Arabidopsis thaliana: one gene and its partners. The protein of the gene in region 2 interacts with the protein of the main gene of each other region in a pairwise test. Each region holds a gene or a part of one and is shown on either strand. Other genes may lie near its edges. The genes, in order: AT3G58630, VOZ1, AT4G26410 and AT2G32020.

The links.
Region 1: the proteins of VOZ1 (region 2) and AT3G58630 interact in a two-hybrid assay, tested with the Arabidopsis thaliana proteins (one large-scale study listed by BioGRID).
Region 3: the proteins of VOZ1 (region 2) and AT4G26410 interact in a two-hybrid assay, tested with the Arabidopsis thaliana proteins (one large-scale study listed by BioGRID).
Region 4: the proteins of VOZ1 (region 2) and AT2G32020 interact in a two-hybrid assay, tested with the Arabidopsis thaliana proteins (one large-scale study listed by BioGRID).

The regions. Positions count from the first base shown.
Region 1 is NC_003074.8:21,682,956-21,688,153, reverse strand, and holds AT3G58630 (sequence-specific DNA binding transcription factor), read left to right. Parts: upstream 1-2,114; 5' UTR 2,115-2,382; coding exon 2,383-3,307; coding exon of another isoform or gene 3,308-3,318; exon of another isoform or gene 3,319-4,185; coding exon 4,186-4,226; 3' UTR 4,227-4,228; intron 4,229-4,332; 3' UTR 4,333-4,624; downstream 4,625-5,198. Other genes in the region: AT3G58640 (Mitogen activated protein kinase kinase kinase-like protein), read left to right, coding at 32-188, 380-668, 747-819, 919-1,001; TTL4 (tetratricopetide-repeat thioredoxin-like 4), read right to left, coding at 5,195-5,198.
Region 2 is NC_003070.9:10,027,256-10,032,857, forward strand, and holds VOZ1 (vascular plant one zinc finger protein), read left to right. Parts: upstream 1-1,827; 5' UTR 1,828-2,012; exon of another isoform or gene 2,013-2,418; 5' UTR 2,419-2,457; coding exon 2,458-2,688; intron 2,689-2,808; coding exon 2,809-2,958; intron 2,959-3,055; coding exon 3,056-3,572; intron 3,573-3,661; coding exon 3,662-4,224; 3' UTR 4,225-4,735; downstream 4,736-5,602. Other genes in the region: AT1G28530 (deneddylase), read right to left, coding at 4,872-4,990, 5,091-5,211, 5,294-5,524. UniProt on the Arabidopsis thaliana protein: Transcriptional activator acting positively in the phytochrome B signaling pathway. Functions redundantly with VOZ2 to promote flowering downstream of phytochrome B (phyB). Down-regulates 'FLOWERING LOCUS C' (FLC) and up-regulates 'FLOWERING LOCUS T' (FT).
Region 3 is NC_003075.7:13,344,548-13,349,911, forward strand, and holds AT4G26410 (chromosome-associated kinesin), read left to right. Parts: upstream 1-2,106; 5' UTR 2,107-2,212; coding exon 2,213-2,455; intron 2,456-2,947; coding exon 2,948-3,014; intron 3,015-3,230; coding exon 3,231-3,308; intron 3,309-3,440; coding exon 3,441-3,493; intron 3,494-3,605; coding exon 3,606-3,742; intron 3,743-3,829; coding exon 3,830-3,894; intron 3,895-4,009; coding exon 4,010-4,068; intron 4,069-4,154; coding exon 4,155-4,244; 3' UTR 4,245-4,590; downstream 4,591-5,364. Other genes in the region: AT4G26400 (RING/U-box superfamily protein), read right to left, coding at 406-1,476; AT4G26415 (uncharacterized protein), read right to left, coding at 4,591-5,080.
Region 4 is NC_003071.7:13,630,225-13,634,003, reverse strand, and holds AT2G32020 (Acyl-CoA N-acyltransferases (NAT) superfamily protein), read left to right. Parts: upstream 1-2,074; 5' UTR 2,075-2,259; coding exon 2,260-2,811; 3' UTR 2,812-3,024; downstream 3,025-3,779. Other genes in the region: AT2G32030 (Acyl-CoA N-acyltransferases (NAT) superfamily protein), read left to right, coding at 763-1,329.

The DNA of each region.
Region 1 (5,198 bases), on a different chromosome or scaffold from region 2:
CATCAATGCATGCATCTTCGACTTCTTGTAGTTATACTGTTCCTTGGAGCATGCACAAAGCCTCCACGATTATCACTGATCACTGAGTACATGGAAATGGGATCTTTGTATTACTTGCTCCACTTGAGTGGACAAAAAAAGAGGTTAAGCTGGCGGAGGAAGCTAAAGATGCTGCGGGACATTTGCAGGTAATTTCATCTTCCATACAAAACCGTGTATCCTTCTTTCCAACATAGTATGTAGTATTAATATGGAAAATTTTGGTTTGAGGAGAAGGCAATAACACTTCCAAATAGGACCTGGAATTGTGTCTCGATGAGAAAGTTTCGTAATCATCTTTAATTAACAAACAGCGTTTAAACTTGTAAAATGTTGCTAGGGGATTGATGTGTATACACCGGATGGGGATAGTACACCGTGATATAAAGAGTGCAAACTGTCTTTTGAGCAACAAATGGACAGTCAAGATCTGTGATTTTGGGCTGTCGAGAATAATGACAGGGACAACAATGAGAGACACAGTCTCTGCAGGAACTCCAGAGTGGATGGCTCCTGAACTTATCCGCAATGAGCCCTTCTCAGAAAAGTGTGATATCTTCAGTTTAGGTGTAATAATGTGGGAGCTATGCACTTTAACCAGACCTTGGGAAGGAGTACCGCCTGAACGGGTAACTTAACTGAACAAGAAGAAGACTCTTTAGTGACATATGTGTATATATAACAAGTTTCCTCATATTTCTTCTCAGGTTGTTTATGCTATTGCTTACGAGGGAGCTCGGCTTGAGATTCCTGAAGGACCACTGGGAAAGCTTATTGCAGGTCTTGTGACTTGTCAAAGTGTTGTTATTTCGTTTTTCCTGAAGCTTTGTTTGGGGTTTATGGAGTATCCTTTTCTGATGTGTTGTCTCTTGTTCGCAGATTGTTGGACAGAACCGGAACAAAGACCGAGTTGCAATGAGATACTCTCTCGTTTGCTGGATTGTGAGTATTCGCTTTGCTAACTTTCTCTCAATCATATTTTCCTTCTGTGAATATAAAACTTTGCAGCGAGAGAGGTTTTTGTTTTCTTCGTTTCTTTTTTTTGAATATTGTTGGCTTTCTCCTTTGAGTTTGTACAAAAGAACTTTGGCGCTTTCACATCCACAAAAAGCTTTGTGGAACTCTTTTCCGTTTAATCATTTGCAAATTCGTAAATTTCAAAACCTCTGAAACAAAAAAGTAAGTCTTATAAATTTTACAAAAGGTGAGAAGAGTTGCTCATTCTTTCAGTTTAAATGATCAAGCTTGCTACTCTTTTTCGTACCATAAGGTTTGTTCCCTGCTTTGCATTTGCTATAAGAAAATTACGGACAAATACATGTACTTTTCGTTTATATTTCGTGCCTTAAGAAATGAAAAGGAGCTTTGATTGACAAAGAAAAAAGAGCAAACTACAGTTTTTGCAGAACTTCTAGTTATTTAAAGAAAAAACGATTTTATGTTCGTAGCCGTAATTTGTCATTACCTATTTGACAACAACATACATTCTAGTACCGAGTTTAAATTCGGTGATATAACAACGATACTAGTAGTTCGCGTTACCCATTTAGCTTATCACCTAAACACACAAAACTTAGAATAACTTATTCTAATATAGCAATGTGTCATTAACTTACAAAAATAGATCGTTTGATCATATTCTACTTGGCAGTACTATCATTACATTTTACGGAAACTAAACCAAACATCTAACGAGCCATATCCGATTTTTTAATTAGCTTTGATTTTTCTCTACAATCTACAGTTTCAGAAATTTCACCATGCTATAAATTTGTCAATTACATACTATTTAGGATGTGATACCAATTCATTTGGAACCGTTATCATATTCTAATTAAGTTAGACAACAAAAAAAAAGGAAAATATCAACCAAAACTTACATATTATATTACCAACGATTCACCCAAAAAAAAAATATATTACCAACGATTCATAATGAAATTTAATTAGAACTACCACACATAATATTACTAATTAACTTTAGACTTATCAAATTGCATATTAAAATGAATATTTAAAGCTTTTGTAAGAAAAAAAAATATAGAGAAATATTATCTTGTTCGGTAGTCAACATTAACAAAATAAAATAAAAATTAAAACGTTTTAGCTGTTAAAAAATAAAAACCAAATTAACGATGTATATAAATTAGCTAGAGCTGGCTCGTTTAGTCTGGCTCACGGTTTAGTACATGCACACAAAGCAAAAACGCTGGTTTGTCTTTTTAAAAAAAAAGAACTTCGTTTCTCTTCAATTCCGTTACCGTCACTGTCACCGTTCACCTCCGTTTATCTCATCCTCACCGTTCATCTTCTTCGATCTAACTCGCCGTCGTTCACCTTATAATGGACACCGTCAACGATTCCTTTTCGCCGGGATCTTCCCGACCTTCGCCGGCGACGCTTTCTCGTGAAGATTGCTGGAGCGAGGAAGCGACCTTCACGCTCATCCAAGCCTGGGGTAATCGCTACGTCGACCTCAGCCGAGGTAATCTCCGTCAGAAACACTGGCAAGAGGTGGCTAACGCCGTTAACGACCGTCACTACAACACCGGTCGAAACGTTTCCGCCGCCAAATCGCAGCCGTATCGCACCGACGTTCAGTGTAAAAACCGGATCGATACTCTGAAGAAGAAGTACAAAGTCGAGAAGGCTAGGGTTTCGGAATCCAATCCCGGTGCCTACATCAGCCCTTGGCCTTTCTTCTCCGCTCTCGATGACCTTCTCCGGGAAAGCTTTCCGACGTCTAGTAATCCTGATTCAACTGATAACATCCCGCACCAGAGGCTATCACTTCCGATGTCCATTAATCCAGTTCCGGTCGCTCCACGATCGGCGATCCCCAGACGTCCGGCGACATCGCCGGCGATTATACCTCACGCCGGTGACGATTTACTCGGATTTCGCGGGAATCTCAACGCATTCGCGGCAGCCGCAGCGGCGGCGGCGTGTCCGGCGTCTGAAGATGACTCGGAAGGTTCAAGGTCTAGATCGAGCGGTCGTAGCGGGAGTAACAAGAAGCGGGAGAGGAAAATTGAGAAGAAGCAAGGCTACAAGGAAGTTGCCGACGCAATTGAGAGGCTTGGACAGATATACGAGAGAGTCGAGGAGAAGAAGAGGAAGGAAATGGTTGAATTGGAGAAGCAGAGAATGAGATTCGCTAAGGAATTGGAATGCCATAGGATGCAACTGTTCACGGAGATGCAGGTACGTCTTCATAAGCTCCGGCGTACCTCTGGCTCCAAAGGACCGACTTCCTCCGCCTCCGCCGGTGAGACCTGAATCCTTTCTCTCGCCGTATTTCGTAATCTGTTCAGAATTCTATGTCTTTCTCCATTGTTTAGCTGTGTAACAGTGACTATAGCATAAGAGTAGAAACAAATTTTACCTTTTTACTTGTGATAGTCTCTGTGCCAACGACGGCTATAATAAACCCAATCAAAGTACAAGAACAAATTGATATCGCACAGAGATGATGAATCTGAACAAAAATAAACTAATTAGTAGCAAGTATTGGTATTCATGGTAAGGAGGAGGTCCTGGTTACATTTTTCTCCTAGATGTTGTTGCTTTGTTACTTGTGTTTCTTGTAATTATAGTCTGAGTGTGGAAAGTTTTTCTACAATGACTGATGTGAGCATTAGTTGGGAAGCAGTTCATGAGCTAGAAACTTGAATCTGCTTCTGTTTGTTGTTAAGCATGAGTGCTTTGTGAAGTGTTTTGAGTGTGATGCCCAGTAAGTTTTGAGTGTAGAGTAGCCTTTTTGTTGGTTAGTTGATTGAGAAGATTGTGAGTTTACATGCTAACTGCTTCGAAAGTTAGGAAATAATGGGTATGGATGTTTGAAAAGAGAATGCATGATATGTGGAAGGATTTTTCGGATGCATCAACCATTAGTTTCTGACATATAGTCTCAGGAGACAAAATTTGATTTTTTTTTGGATGCATCAAATCTTTCCTGCAACTTGGCTATGGCATTACACGACAGACATTTGTTTCTTTCGTTTTCGCTTGGTCCATATTTCTTTACTTGTTAGTCACCTGCTAATTTGATGAATTCCTCTTTGCATTACATGTTTGACCACTAGAACAAATTATCAGCAGCAGGTCTATGTATGAATAATAAGTGAACTTTTTCTGTTTATGCAGCTCTTGATTATGGGATGATGGATTTCCCTAGTTACTTCTAGAGGTACGACTCCTTTATTTATATTTAAAACTCCCTAGTCGATCAAAACTTTGCCTATGTACAAAATGTGTAGACTTGTTGGGCTAAGTCGTTGGTTTTGTTTGCAGCATCATGAGTTTGTGATTGTAGCCATTTTGATGAAGATGAGAGAAAGTCAGCGTTCTTCCACCAACCAATAGAAGATATGGTAACAAAGAAACATGAGTTTCTCTTTGTTTTGTAAATTTTAACCCTTTTAGAAGATTCCGATTCCAACCCAGGATTGAAAAAAAAATTGGTGACGTTATATTGGTATATCTACACAATGAAACAGTACAAGAAACAGTTTTCAGCAAAATTATATTGGTTAGTATTGTTTGGTATTTCTTAGTTTGTGTTCTAATTTATGATTTAATGAGGTGGAAAATAAAAAAAAAATCTTCAGGGATATACCGCTATATCCTAGTAATTCATTATTTATCTATTACAAATCTCAAGTTCTCAACTCCATAACATGTTAAGTTTAAGAGACTTTAATATGAAATGTTAAGAACTTGAGATTCATAACCTTTGCCCAAAATGTGAGGCAAATCATTTTTGCTCTCATTGAGACTTTGTCATAGTTTGTGTTCTGTATTGGCGCCTCAAATTCCTTCTATGAAACTATAGTTTATTTGTCAATGGATATTTTATTGAAAGCAGTGTTATTACAAGTAACCCAGCCCACCAGGACCCATTTGTAATAAGTAAGAGTTTCTAAAACAAACAAAAATAAGAAAACCAAATGAACCATTAAATTGGGGCCTTTTTGCATGAACGATAATTGAGAAACATGCATTTTCCTCGGATTAATACAATCGGAGCAGGTTTCAATATGATAATACAGTAAAGCAAAACAAAAGAATGAAAATTTCAATTAACAAAATGGCTCTTTGAATCAATTTACGTTCGTGAAGACTAAAGATTTGAAAGAATGAGAAGAGAGATATGTTAT
Region 2 (5,602 bases):
CTTATTTTGAATTTGAGTTGGATGTTTTGTCACATATGATATAGAAATCTATTATGGTGACATTGAATTCACCTTGGAGACCTTAAAGAAAAGAAAAAGAAGGAAAAAAACTTCTCCACTGTCACTAATTTGGTCCGGATCAAAGATAAAGTGTAGTGGTGGACCGATCTATATTCCAACCAGGGATATATAAGATGTAAGGTGCATACTCAAAGAAAATATTGTCAATAATTGGCTGTTTAACTGTGATTAATATATAATCGTACTCAGTCAAGAATTGGTTGTTTAAAATTAGTGGAGATATTATTTCTTATAACCTAGTTAAAAGTTGAATTTGAATATTTTTTTAGAGTTCATACGACGAACATTATGTATTTGAAATGAGAATAATAAGCAATAATAGATAAAGAACGATAGAATATGACCATTGAAGAAATTGAAAGTAGATGGTATGATGAAAATTGATGAGCATCACAAGATAGGAATATGGAAAACATAGTGGAGAAAAGCTAAGTTATATTCCTTCCTTGCCAATATCTCCTTCTTTTACACCTTCTTGTATCTTAAAAGAAAATAATAATAACTTAGTATTCACGACACTTGTCCAAATTCTTTACCCAAGATTCCTTTGTTATGCTTGTTTGTTTTTTCCTCCAAAAGTAATGCAAATTTACATTAGGTACAAACAATCTCATTGTTAAAACTCATTGAAAGGATATAAGAAAACAAATGGGTCCAAATTATTTTAAGAAATGACCAATTGTCAAGCGCAACCAAAATTACGGTTATCAATCTAATTGACTTATCTTGAAAATATAATACGTTACATTTCCAATATTCCTTTTTTATTATCAAATTACGTTACATGTAGTCGTAGACTTGAGCACTAATTAGCCGTTGAATCAAAATCTTTAACGTGGTTCTACTACGATGCTATCATAAAGTCTATGTCAATTTATCAACAAAATATACATTCTCGAAAGAAATGTTATCATGAATCGTTTTTTAGTTTTTTTTTCCTACGACTACAAGTACAGCTACGCAAAGTTGCAAACCACTCCCCTCCATACACATTAACTTGGACTAAACCCGATGATCATACAATGTCACAAATTTTAGCGTTACTACATTAGTCTTAACATTTTCTAATATTTGCAAATGTTCCATCCCTAAAATGGATGGTAGTTTTAATTTCAAAGCCTTTTTTTACACTTTTTTGTTTGGTATTTGTTTTAATTTTCTCGTATGTATAAAATTTGCTTAGCTTTAGCCTATCTTGAATTCTATCATCGCATATTCGCATGGTTATATTATATCTTACAAATCGTGTGACCCAAACTCTGATTTTGGAAAAATTCTTGGCGACTTCCCTAATGTATTACATAGTCTAAAGAAAAACTTAAATTTCTAACTCAAATAGTATTTAAATTTCCTCAAATAAGGAGCAAGTAGTGTATGGAGCCAATAGCATTGAAGAAAATGCCTAATTTTCTAAAGCATATGTGCAACAAAAAAAAAAAAAAAACATAATTGAACTCTGGTTAGTTTAGAAAACAAAACAAAAAAAAAAGATTATTTACACAACAAATAGTAAATTTTAAATGCTCATTTAATATTTCTTAATATAAATAAATGCTATAAAGAGAAAAAATGAACAATAAAAAGAAAAGAATCCATAATAAACAGTCCAAATGGCATTTTTTTCCAAAATAATCATTAAATTCCTTAAACATTTCCCCACAATTTGATAATTTTTAAATTTTTATATTTTCTCATAAATTAGTACATTGAATTTAGCTCATAAAAAAGGAAAAAGAAAAGTGGAGGGTGAAGAGAAGAAGAGAATCCAGCAACGTTTCTTTATTTCCTTTGTGTTTTTTTTTCTTCATAATCTCTCTCTTTTTATTTATTCATAATTTTTACTCTCTCCATTTCTTCATTACTCTTCTTTTTATTTTCCGGAGATTTTTCTCTTTGCCTTTGTTATTTGCTGCTTTTGCTGCAGCTACAGTGTAAGTTTGATTTTCTGGGTTCCTTCAAACTCCAAAATCTCGCGTCGCTTTTTGCTTCAGAATCGATTTGTTCTTGTTACTTCGATCTGTTGTTCTTTTTAACTCTGTGCATGATTCAATTTCGTGTTCGTAACCTGTTTTTTGCTGCTTGTTTAGTTCGACAATTAGGTAAAAAAATGACGATCCCTAAAACTTATGATCCTTTTAATCTTCGTTTAGCTACTTCGTTCGAGATCATCTAGGGCTTTTGTTGCTTCATCGATTTTGGGTTTTGATTTACTGTAAATGTTTTGGTTTTGTTTATGTAATCTAAGCATGTACCAATGATTCATGAGTGATCATGTTTGTTATAGGAGCAGAACTGATGTGAAGTGTGTATTTTGAATGTGTTTTTGGTTTTGTACAGAGAATCTTGTGTTTTTGTGGTGGGGAGGTGAGATTTCTTATGACGGGGAAGCGATCAAAGACTAATTGCAGATCTGCTTCTCACAAGCTCTTCAAGGATAAGGCTAAGAACCGTGTTGATGATTTGCAAGGCATGCTTTTGGATCTTCAGTTTGCGAGGAAAGAGAGTAGGCCTACTGATGTTACTCTTCTTGAGGAGCAAGTGAATCAGATGCTTCGTGAGTGGAAATCTGAGCTCAATGAGCCTTCTCCAGCTTCATCCTTGCAACAAGTATGCTTTCGTTTGTTTCAAATTTGCAATCTTGTTGTTTCTTCTGACTTGCATGGGTGATTTAGTTTTCTTTGTTGTTTCAGTCATTGTTAGCTGTGTCATTTTGTTTTGCTTAAGCAGGGTGGTACTCTGGGGTCTTTCTCATCAGATATTTGTCGGCTGCTGCAGCTCTGTGATGAGGAAGATGATGCTACCAGCAAATTAGCTGCCCCCAAGCCCGAGCCTGCTGATCAGAATCTCGAAGCTGGCAAAGCTGCTGTCTTCCAAAGGGTGAGTTGCTCTTTAGAACCAGTTTTTAATGGTGCTTTAGTTGTGTTTGGAGTCCATTATTTTGTTTAAATACTGAGATCGTGGTGAAAGTTTTCAGGGATACAATTTGGTTCAGGGGAAGTCAGAACATGGATTACCATTGGTTGATAATTGCAAAGATTTGTCCTTAGCAGCTGGTAACAATTTCGATGGAACGGCTCCTTTGGAGTATCATCAGCAGTATGATCTGCAACAAGAGTTTGAACCAAACTTCAATGGTGGTTTCAACAATTGTCCCAGTTATGGTGTAGTAGAGGGTCCTATACATATCTCTAATTTTATCCCGACTATTTGTCCTCCACCCTCTGCATTCTTGGGTCCAAAATGTGCTCTTTGGGATTGCCCTAGGCCAGCTCAGGGATTTGATTGGTTCCAGGATTACTGCAGCAGCTTCCACGCTGCACTGGCTTTCAATGAAGGGCCACCAGGTATGAATCCGGTGGTGCGTCCTGGAGGTATCGGCCTAAAAGACGGTCTGCTTTTTGCTGCTCTTAGTGCAAAGGCTGGAGGGAAAGATGTTGGTATTCCCGAATGTGAAGGAGCTGCAACTGCTAAATCTCCATGGAATGCTCCAGGTAGGCTTTACTCTCTTGGAATTCATTCACAAGTATGTTAATTGATCACCATTCTTGAGCTGATCATACTCAAATCTTGATGACTGTAGAGCTCTTTGATCTCACGGTTCTGGAGAGTGAGACACTAAGGGAGTGGCTATTCTTTGACAAGCCAAGGAGGGCCTTTGAGAGCGGGAACAGAAAGCAAAGATCTTTACCAGACTACAATGGTCGTGGTTGGCACGAGTCACGTAAACAGATCATGGTCGAGTTTGGAGGGCTGAAGAGATCTTACTACATGGATCCACAGCCTCTGCACCATTTCGAATGGCATCTTTACGAATATGAGATCAACAAGTGTGATGCTTGTGCCTTGTACAGGCTCGAGCTCAAGCTTGTTGACGGGAAGAAGACTTCAAAAGGCAAAGTCTCAAACGACTCAGTGGCTGATCTGCAGAAGCAGATGGGAAGACTCACAGCTGAGTTCCCTCCAGAAAACAATACCACTAACACCACCAACAACAACAAACGCTGCATCAAAGGAAGACCAAAAGTGAGCACAAAAGTCGCCACCGGGAATGTTCAGAACACAGTAGAGCAGGCAAATGACTATGGAGTAGGTGAAGAGTTTAACTATCTGGTCGGAAATCTAAGCGACTATTATATCCCCTGAGACGAATGTGGAAAAACTCAGGTTTAAAAAGCTGTTTGCTTACCATTTAATTAGGCAGCAGCAGAAGAAGCTTCTACATATCGTAGGGCAAAGTAATGGATTTTCATGACTCGTATCTTTTTTTTCTCTTATATAATAGTTCTCTGTCTATCTATGGAGATTATGTATATATAACAAGAAGTGGATGCTGAAGACTGTCCTGGAGTTAGGAATAGTAAATGTGACGAAGGAGACTGCTTTTTAAGATTCAGTCTATGGAGGTGAAGACATATTTACTGACATTCCGGTTTATATATTTTGATGCATTTTCGACTCTCTTCTGCGATATAATGCAGATGACAAATTATGTAACCGATGGGGAAATACGGTTTTGAGTATCAGTGTTGTTCTTATAGAATCAGGACCTTGTTCAATGAGATCATTGCTCTTACTTAGTCTATGTTTCAGATTTGGGGTTTTGTTAATAAAAATTCTCTGCAGAGCTTCAAAATCTTAAGCATCGTTTCAAGAATCATGTAATCACGTTCTCACTCTTCTTAAGATATTTGCATATCATAGACGCCAAGTGTTACAAGCAATCAATCAAATCATATTCTACATATATTGTACTAAAATTCATCTAAAGAGAGACAGGAACTTCGCTATGCTTATTGTGGCAATAATGGTCTGACCAATGCAAAAGGACGATCTGAATTCACAGACATTAATAATTCCAACACAACTACTTTTTTGGGAGGGTGACTCTTAAGACCAGGCTCAATCAGCCCTGCAAAGCAAAGAATGACACAACACATAATCAGATAAACTTAAAAGGATACGAATAGCATTGAATTTAAGGAATTGAAAGAAGAACCATGGTGTGTTACCAGGCTTGAGTTTTTTTCCTCCATAAAGTTCTCTAGCTAAAGGATTAGCAGCCCAGTGATTCACAGCCACCCGGCTTGTCGGTTGGAACCCTATGATTTTACCTTCGGATGATAAAACTACCTGCTTCCATTAAAGAACCAGACGAAGATGAAGTAGTAGTCCACTTAAAAGAATTCAATTCATCATAATTCACTGGAATTACCTGGTAAGTAGCGATATCTTGCGCAGATGCCTTTGCGTCTTCATTGAGTATTTCCAGAAGAGACGAGCTTGTAACAATGTGATCTTCAACAGACTTAGCTCTGCTGGTTTCTTTCAAGTAGTCAGGTACTTCCCCTATCCAGGCACCTATGCTGCTTTCTAGTGTGATCTCCCCTACCCAGCTGTAGGCATCCTTGAGCTTGTTGACGAGTAATCCGCAGAATGAATCCAACTGCTCATTTGAGGTTTCAGAATTTAGTTTCCGAGAAAAACAGGAAAAAGCACCACAAAAAATAATAAAAGGTTGATC
Region 3 (5,364 bases), on a different chromosome or scaffold from region 2:
CATAATGTTCTTGGATCATACTCTGGTTACAAGTACATTAGTTTGGTACGAGTGCAATTGCATAAACAAAGACTATTTTTTGAATATATTTTACAAAAATGTGTGATCACATTTGGCTCGTGATCACACAACTTTGGGATTCGTATTTGGAGATAATGCGATTCATGCAGTCAACAACCATACTCACAGTCACATGCCTCTCCCTCTCAACATAAATACCTGTGTTCATCTTTTTATATTTTACTAAATTAAAAGGGATACTTTTAACGGAAACCCAAATGATCATCAGATATTATAATACAAATAAAGAAAAGATTCCATTCCTCGAAAGTGTTTATTTGTTATGCAGTATTCAACAATCTGAGTGAACAAGATTTTATGTACTATAAGCTGAGGAATAGCAGTTTACGAGTTCTCACCGAGATGAGATGACCCCGAGGCCGATGCGGATGACGAAGAGGATGAAGAGAATAATCCGCTGAACGGCCATGGAAAAGAGAACCTTCTCTCGCTCACATTACTGTTCCTTGCATCATCTTCCACATTCTCATTACTTACGTTGATCTCTAGAGTTCTTGTTCTCGGTCTTACAGGATTAACCTTGGTCTCATCATCAGGAGGGAGTTCATATCGGCACACGGGACATGAACTGTGAAGCTCGAGCCACGGTACTATACACCGGATGTGAAACTTGTGCTTACACGGCATCTCTTTAGCTTCACTTCCTTTGTCAAAATCATCCAAACAAATCGAGCACTGCAATGATTCACTTATCTTAACCGTTGGGAGATTATCCACAACTTCTTTACGTGCTGGAAGACTCCCGTGCCTGATTGAATCATTATCAGCTAGATGTTCAAGCAAATGGTCTAAACTGGATCCAACAAAGTAATCTCCAATTGCAGAAAGAGAAGTATTGTTCCGGTTTTGATTCAAACTCGTTGAACCCTGAACAACAGCTGATTGATTTAACAGGTCTCGATCCGAGCTCTCATACTCAGAAGCAATCCCTGCACGAATACCCTGAAGCAACTGCAATATAGTAGCTGAGCTTCTCCGTCTCCTCCTAAGGATAGACTCAAACTCTCTGTCTAAATCAATCTCTCTACCTTGTTGCCTGTGGCGATGACGACGATGATGATGTCGATCAATATCGACGCTGTCATTTCCATCAACATCATCAGATACATTGACCTCATCATTATCCACACCAAACTCTGTCCTCCTAAACCTTCTACGTCTACGAGGATTACTCATCATTCCAAGCAAGATTGGACCCCATAGAGACAATGCACGGTCTGTACCAAAATCAATCTCAGGGTCTTGAACCTCCCTTAGACTGCTACTGCTGCCGCCATTAATCTCACGGCTCATTTCCTCGACAAACCCGCTTTGGCAAAAGGGGCATTTGATCTCGGCACCAATAACTGGATTCACCATTTGTGAACACATGTGACACCAATACCTAGCTGACATTGCCTCTTCCTCCTTCTTTCCTTCCCCACCCAAACCTCTCGTTTCTGAAACAACCAGAAGAACAACAAAAAAAAAAACATGAAGAAGCAAACCTATAAAGTTTCGACCTTTGTTTCATCAGATCTAAATAAAGAGAATGGTATTCCCAAAAGTTTCACTAAAAAGAGGATAATATCATCTTCACCAACATCATTAGCTCAAGTTTCAGACAACAAAACGCAAGCTTTCTATGCAAATGCGAATAAACAGATCAACCAAAATTTGCCTCTATAAAGAGATAACAATAGAAATCAGGGCTAATCCATGAAAAGAAAACTCTCAATTCTCATGGAGTAATTAAAACAAAACAAATACAAAAACAAACCTTGTAAATGTTCTTACTTTTGGAGATCCAGAGGGAAGAAATGTCTTCCTCCTTCTTTTAGATCTCCACGAAGATAAATGAGAGCTTTTTTATTTGTCTTCTTCTGCAGAAATGGTGGGAGACGAAGAAAAGAGGAATGAAGGAGGAAAGGAAGACGAAGATGAAGACGAAGAAAAGGGAATGTAATGTATAGTTCGCAGACCCAATCTTAAAGCCCATTAACCGCAAACTGATATATAAAGGAGCCGGGTCTATCTTAACCATTTAAAACCAACTTCTAATTTGGAATCAAATTGAACCGAATCGAACCGGTTGAAGTTGAAAGAAGGAGAAAAGGCGTTGTCTCCGTGCGAGAAAGGCAAATCGGAGACGATGAGCGAAACCGAAGCAACCGGCGTTACCGATGATTCGGCTCCAGCGATTGAGACTGAAACTGTTTCTGATGCGATGGAGCATACAGCGATCGGAGTGGTTGAATCGGTGGAAGGAGCCATAGAAGGAGCAGAGAAATGGGTGGGTGATTTGCAACGGACGGTGAAGGAATCGAAGGATACCGCAATGCGTTCTGCTCGTTCCCTCCGTGAAAATTCTACCTCTCAGTTCCGCTCTATACAGGTTAGTTAATCTCTCTTTTGTTCACCAAACAATTTTTGCGAATCGAGATTGTTTACCAAAAAACATTTTCAGGATTTCAAACCATGGATATGGTGGAATTTAGTATCTCGTAAGCTATAATTTCTAGAAATGAGCTCGATTCAGAACAGATATTTCTCCAATTAGCAGTTTTATGTATTGAATGGTGCTAGTTTTTGTTCATATGGGTAAAATCTTGTTGAATCATACCATTATAACTTATTGGCAATGATCTTAGTCTCTTCCTGGGTTCTGATTCTGCTTCAAATGGTTGTTTAGAAGACTGTAATGTATCGCTGAGGCATTCTTGATTATTCTCTAAACAATGTTTTTATATGATATCAGATATTCATGTAGCTTAATGATGTGTGATATGGAGTAGACCCTATCTGGCTGAAATCACAGTTCCATTAGATGTATGTATATGTCTTCGTCTTCTCTCATACAATCTTACATTTGATTCTGAAATTGCAGGATTTCATTCCACATGCTTTGACTCAGTATAAGACCTATGAGAATGCTTTCTTCAGTAAAGTTACAGGTATCTTGCAGCCAATTTTCGTGAAAAAGTTATACTGGTAGACTACTGTAATGCTTAGGAACGAGTATTTTAGATCAAACTGAGATATAACAGATAGCTGCCACAAAACTTTTATATATACTTGTAGTGCATCTTATAGTGTTCTGAAACTAGAATCTTCATGTCATTCCGATTAATCAATCCTCGTATCCTCTGCTGCTTTTGTTATCCTCGCAGACGAATTGATATACGCAAAAGAGCATCCGGCTGCTGCTATTGGGATTGGTGTCGCTGCTAGTCTCGTTCTGATGCGAGGTATAACCTCTACTCTCTTATCACTTTTACAACTTACAAGATTCCTTCCCGTAGGAGCATCCAAATGGTATTACATCTGTTTTACTTATATGTGTCTTGTATGAATTTGGTTTTCTATTGTTCGACTTACAGGCCCAAGAAGATTCTTGTTTCGTAATACACTAGGCCGATTTCAGAGCGAAGAGGTATATACTATACCAGCTTCAAATTTATTTCTTAACGTTGTTATGCTTAGTTGCCCTGGTCTGTGTCCCTTCCCTTATTTTTACATCCACTTCAAAATCATCGTCGCTTCAGGCACAATTCTTGAAAGCTGAGAAGCATGTTCAGGAGTTAAACATGTCTGTAGACTTGATGAAAAAGGAGAGCAGGAAATTGCTTGAGAGGACGGCTTTAGCAGAGAAGGATATGAAACGTGGTCTCTCTGAGCTCATGTATGCCCCAACATGGACGCTCCCACTTCTTTTATTAAGTTATTGACATCATTTATGTTAATATGGGTACTACTGTTATATCTATAGGAACTCTGGAAACGATATACATCGTCTTGCTAAGTCCGTCCACAAAGCTGAATGTGAAGCTGCTGGTAATCTTGAACAAGATTTATTTTTACTCACTTCTCCCTTCTCCCTTCAAATGGTATCTTTGATAATGCCACTACGTCAGATTTCAACTTACACAAAGAGTTCTATTCGCTGCAGATTTGATGGACGGACTTCGGCAAATTCCTGGAAGGGATGCTATCAAGCTTAGAGCTGAAGTGAGTCTGACTTTTTTCTTCTCGCCCATTGTTTGAGCTTCATTGCTATGAACGTCTCATTAAATTCTTTTGTCGTAAATCATTAGGTGGCTTCCATGACTTCGCTTTTGAGACAGAAGAGGATTGCATTGAACAAAAGGATCATGGGTATGTCGGACCTAGGAGTTTCCGTCTGATATATCCAACACAAATCCACAATTTCTTGGGTTTTCGCAACCAAAGTTTGTTAGGTATTTTCCAATTGAATCGCAGTGTACTCTCGTCCATCGAACATCCAACTCTGTCTGAAACCAAAATCTGAGCTTGAGACAGAACTTGTATACTGTGTTTTTGCCTGCTTCCTAAGATTTCTCGCTCAGAGAGAATTAATTGAGTCACAAAAATGTGTGTGCTTGGTTTGGAAATCCTTAATTATGTAGTCTAGAAGATTTATGAGAAACATAGAAAGTTACTGAATCAATCAGTAATGAAAATTTATAGATAACATGAAGGTTTTTAATGGGCTAGTTTTGCATCGTAAGTCTATGGGAGACGGGCTGTGGGCCATCCACCCATGCGACTAGGCGACCCAACTGCTCCGATTGGTCTAGTAATGTTAAACCCTCCAGACGAGCAAGAAGCTTCAGTCGTCGGACCGGTCCGACCATTAACGTCCAGAGTCCGTTCTCTCCTCCTTAGACGCTCCCTCTTGAGCAGAGTCCCTAACTTATCTTTTCCCGATTTTCCCTTGTCCGGAACAGGTATCATCTCCAGACCCATCAGCTTTGCAACAACCCCCGTCTTGCACCATACCACACTCTCTCCGGCCACTGTCCGTGGCAGGCGTTTTGTCTCCAAGCTCATCTGGCTCGATCTCTTTGATGTCCGTTGATCCCCGCAGTGGGATCTCCGCCCACCCTGTATCGTCATGTCAGCACTGGTGCCAAGATGGCGCCGGAAGGATGACCGGTACATAGCGTCCTTACCGTCCAGTGAGAAACGTGGGTACTGATTCAACGCGTTCCTTGCTGACCTTAACGGCAGACAAACAGAAGTTGATATTAGTATTGATCATAGTATCATACACAATAAAATTATTTCTGTTTCTTCCGGTAATTCCTTAAATATCACTACAGATTTCACCAGTATACGAAATCTAGAAAATTCAAAAAAAAAAAAAAAAAAAAACACTTTAAAATGTAGTCATATAACTTGTTTCGTACATTCAAATCTACACCGGTGAATATCATATTATCAATCATGAAACCAACGTTATTTCTCCTCTTGAATACGTTATATTCATTATTCAATATTCAT
Region 4 (3,779 bases), on a different chromosome or scaffold from region 2:
GAAAATTGATGTGATTTATTATAAAATATTTTAAAATTCTATATAAGACCATGAATTTCGATTTTGTTATTTTTAACTAAAGAACTTTCTCAAATCCTTCAAAATTAATAAGAATCAAATCTACCAATTATTTTCAATAACAATAGATTTTAAGATAGAATTTTAAATCTTTAGTTCAATAATACTAGATTTCATTAAAGTTTTTCAAATCCATAATCGAACAACATAGAATTTATAAATTTTACACAAATCACTTAAAATATTAGATTGAATACATTCTTATAAAAATCAAATCCATAAATTATTTTTAATAACAGTGAATTTAAAGGTAGATTTTTAAATTATTATTTTAATAACACTAGATTTCATTAGAATTTTCAAAATCCATAATTAAATAACATATACTTGTAAAATTTACGAAAGTCACTTTAAATACTAGATTGAATATACCTCTTTTAAATCAAAAACGATGAATGGATGGTAAATATACGGTTCACCCATACCCATTATAAACCGTCTTTTTCACACCTTCCATTCAACAAGAACTAATTGTTGCGTATTTGACCGATCGAAGCAAGAAGGAACGTTCTGTTTATTTTCTTTTTTGTTAAAAAAAAATCAGTATTTAAATCGTGATTTGTAGAAGAAGTATTATCATAATGCCTCTACACAAATCTGTAAGAATTGAGAGAGATAATTTATTTTAAAGAATCCCAAAGAAGCTTCAAAGACTCAAAAAGGAAAGTAACCAAGAAAAAGTCAATGGAGATGGACTCAACTACTACGATCAAACCGGAGACCCTATCCACCGTGAGTTCCTCACCTCCGGAGAAAATCCATCTCCGGCCAATGACTCTTTCCGACGTCGACGATTTCATGGTTTGGGCCACTGACTCAAACGTCACACGCTTTTGCACGTGGGAGCCTTACACTAGCCGAGAAGCCGCGATCGCGTACTTAAACGACGCTCTTTTGCCACACCCTTGGCTTAGAGCTATATGCTTAGATAACGACCGTCCGATTGGCTCGATCTCCGTAACGCCAGTCGATGAGATCAGAGGAGAGATTGGTTATGTCCTCGGAAGCAAGTATTGGGGGAAAGGGATCGCCACTGAAGCGGTGAGGCTTGTGGCGGGGGAGATATTCAAGGAGAAGCCAGAGATGCAGAGGCTTGAGGCACTTGTTGACGTTGACAATGTTGGATCTCAAAAGGTTCTTGAAAAAGTTGGGTTTGTGAAAGAAGGTGTGATGAGGAAATTTATGTATCTTAAAGGAAATGTTAGAGATATGGTCATGTTTAGTTTCTTGCCTTCTGATTCGTTGCACTGATCTGATTTGAATTAACAAATATCAAATATATATATTAAGTTTGTTTGATGTCGAAATTTATATTTTGCTTAGTTTGTAAAAATCACATGTATAATTTGATGTGATGCTCTATCTTTCTTCTTCTTATGTAATTGTTAGTTGTAACCTTATATATTAACTATTTCATACAAAAGTTATTTTTTATAATTTGAGAGTAATGTATTTACTATTTACCATGTTCACTTCACCAAATAAAACAAAGCTTCACTATCTCAGAAAAAATGTAAGTTTATATTGAAAATTAAAAGTACAAAATGAAACATGATATATATATATATATTTTCTTTTTGAATCTAAACATGAAATATTTTATACAATAAAAAGATAGTGTGATAGCTAGTTTTACAGCGATAGATGAATGGAATTCTGATAACATTCGATTAATTAATCTTTAGCTAAATTACTTAATCATACAACATGTTGAGTGACTTGATTCTTGAGTTGATTTTGACAGTATATAACAAACGATTACGATCATTTGCACCACAAATATTAACAGTATTAAAATATTTAATCCATTTAGAATAACTTGAGAAACAGTTAAATCCTTTTTGGGAATCAGACCACACACGATTTGACACGTGGCATTGTGGGCATCCAACTGGAAGCAACACATTAAGTTCCGAAACCAGAACAATACTTTGTTTGGCAACCAAGTAAGTGTCGAAAGTCCAAGGTCAAATATAGACAATTATCCACTCACACGATGACACCTCATCTTATGTCGTATATTTAACACTAAATACACTTATCTATAGCAAATGGTAATATTTAGTGTTTTTTTAGTCAAAAGCAATAAGGGAGAATCTCAAAGTTTTTCAAGATCGCGATGTGTATAAAGACATCGCTTAGACGTAGTGATATGATATCTAAAACAATCACTAATCCTAAATGGAGATGGACTCAGAAGAAACTAATCCAATAATGAGCTCTTCGCCTCCGGGAAGAATATCTCTCCGGCCGATGACTCTTTCCGACGTCGATGACTACATGGTTTGGGCCACAGATCCTAAAGTGGCTCGATTTTGCACTTGGGAGCCTTGCACGAGCCGAGACGAAGCTATCAAATACATAACCGATCGTGTCCTGACACACCCTTGGCTCCGAGCCATCTGCTTAGAAGACGACCGTCCAATCGGCTACATCTTGATCATGGCGGTTGATAACATCAGAAAAGAGATTGGTTATGTCCTAGCGAGAAAGTATTGGGGAAAAGGGTTTGCCACGGAAGCAGTGAGGCTAGTGACCGCGGAGGTATTCGAGGAATTTCCAGAGATTGAAAGGCTTGAGGCACTTGTTGATGTGGACAATGTTGGATCTCAAAGGGTTCTTGAAAAAGTTGGGTTTACTAGAGAAGGTGTGATGAGGAAGTTTATATGTATCAAGGGAAGTGTAAGAGACACTGTTATGTTTAGTTTCTTGTCTACTGATACTTTGAAGTAATTAATCAACAAAAAGATTAATTAGCAATTCTACATATATATGTTGGATTTAGTGTATGATTCATATACGTAATACATGATGTAAACACTCTGTTTTTCATTTGCCAAAAAAATCTATAAATCCTACATTGTAAATTACGAAACAATTAAAGTCAGTGCATGAGACAGAAGTGAGGTTAGAGGGATCATCCGATTACAAATTGATAGGTAGAGAAGAGTTTTAAAAATCAAAGGTTAATAGAAGCGTATAAACGAATAATGTAGAATGTAAATAAAACAATGGGATTCGTCCTGTATCCATAAAAAGGTTCACATACTCATCCAACAAGCAAAAGAAAAAAAAAGCAAAACATCCCATGGTCCTTGGGATGAGAACTTAAGAGCCAGACCAGCTTTGTTAAAATAACACAGGATATTAAAAGTATTTGTAAAATTTGAATTATGAATTTATGTAATTCAACAAATTTACTATAAGTAGTACGTAATTAATTTATTATGATTTCTCCATATTTCTTAAATTAAAGTAAACAATCTTTAGATTCCCCTGAGTTTCTTCTTCTTGTTGGAAAAATGAAGTTTACTCGTGCGTAATTCGTTAAGAGAGAAGCCCATGTGGCCCAAATTTAGGGCCCGTGTAGTGGAGGTTTCGTTATAAAGAATCTAGTGAGAAGTGAAGTGAGCAATTTCTTTTCTTTTTTTTTTGTTATGAAGAAAATAATCTGGAAATAAGAAATTACAAGAAAAAATGGATTTTTTTGGGTAAAAAAAAGAAGAAGAAATCAATCATCACTGTGCTTGTGTGAGGCTAATTTCGTTTCCCACTTTCAAAGGACTAAATATATTACTAATACAATTTATTTTAACTTCTGTGGTAGAACTAAAATATATTTGGCCTATAGATACACATGCATATCAAAAAAAGTTATTTTTAGGTTATGTGAATAAAGACTCCACTCCGTTCAATATGTC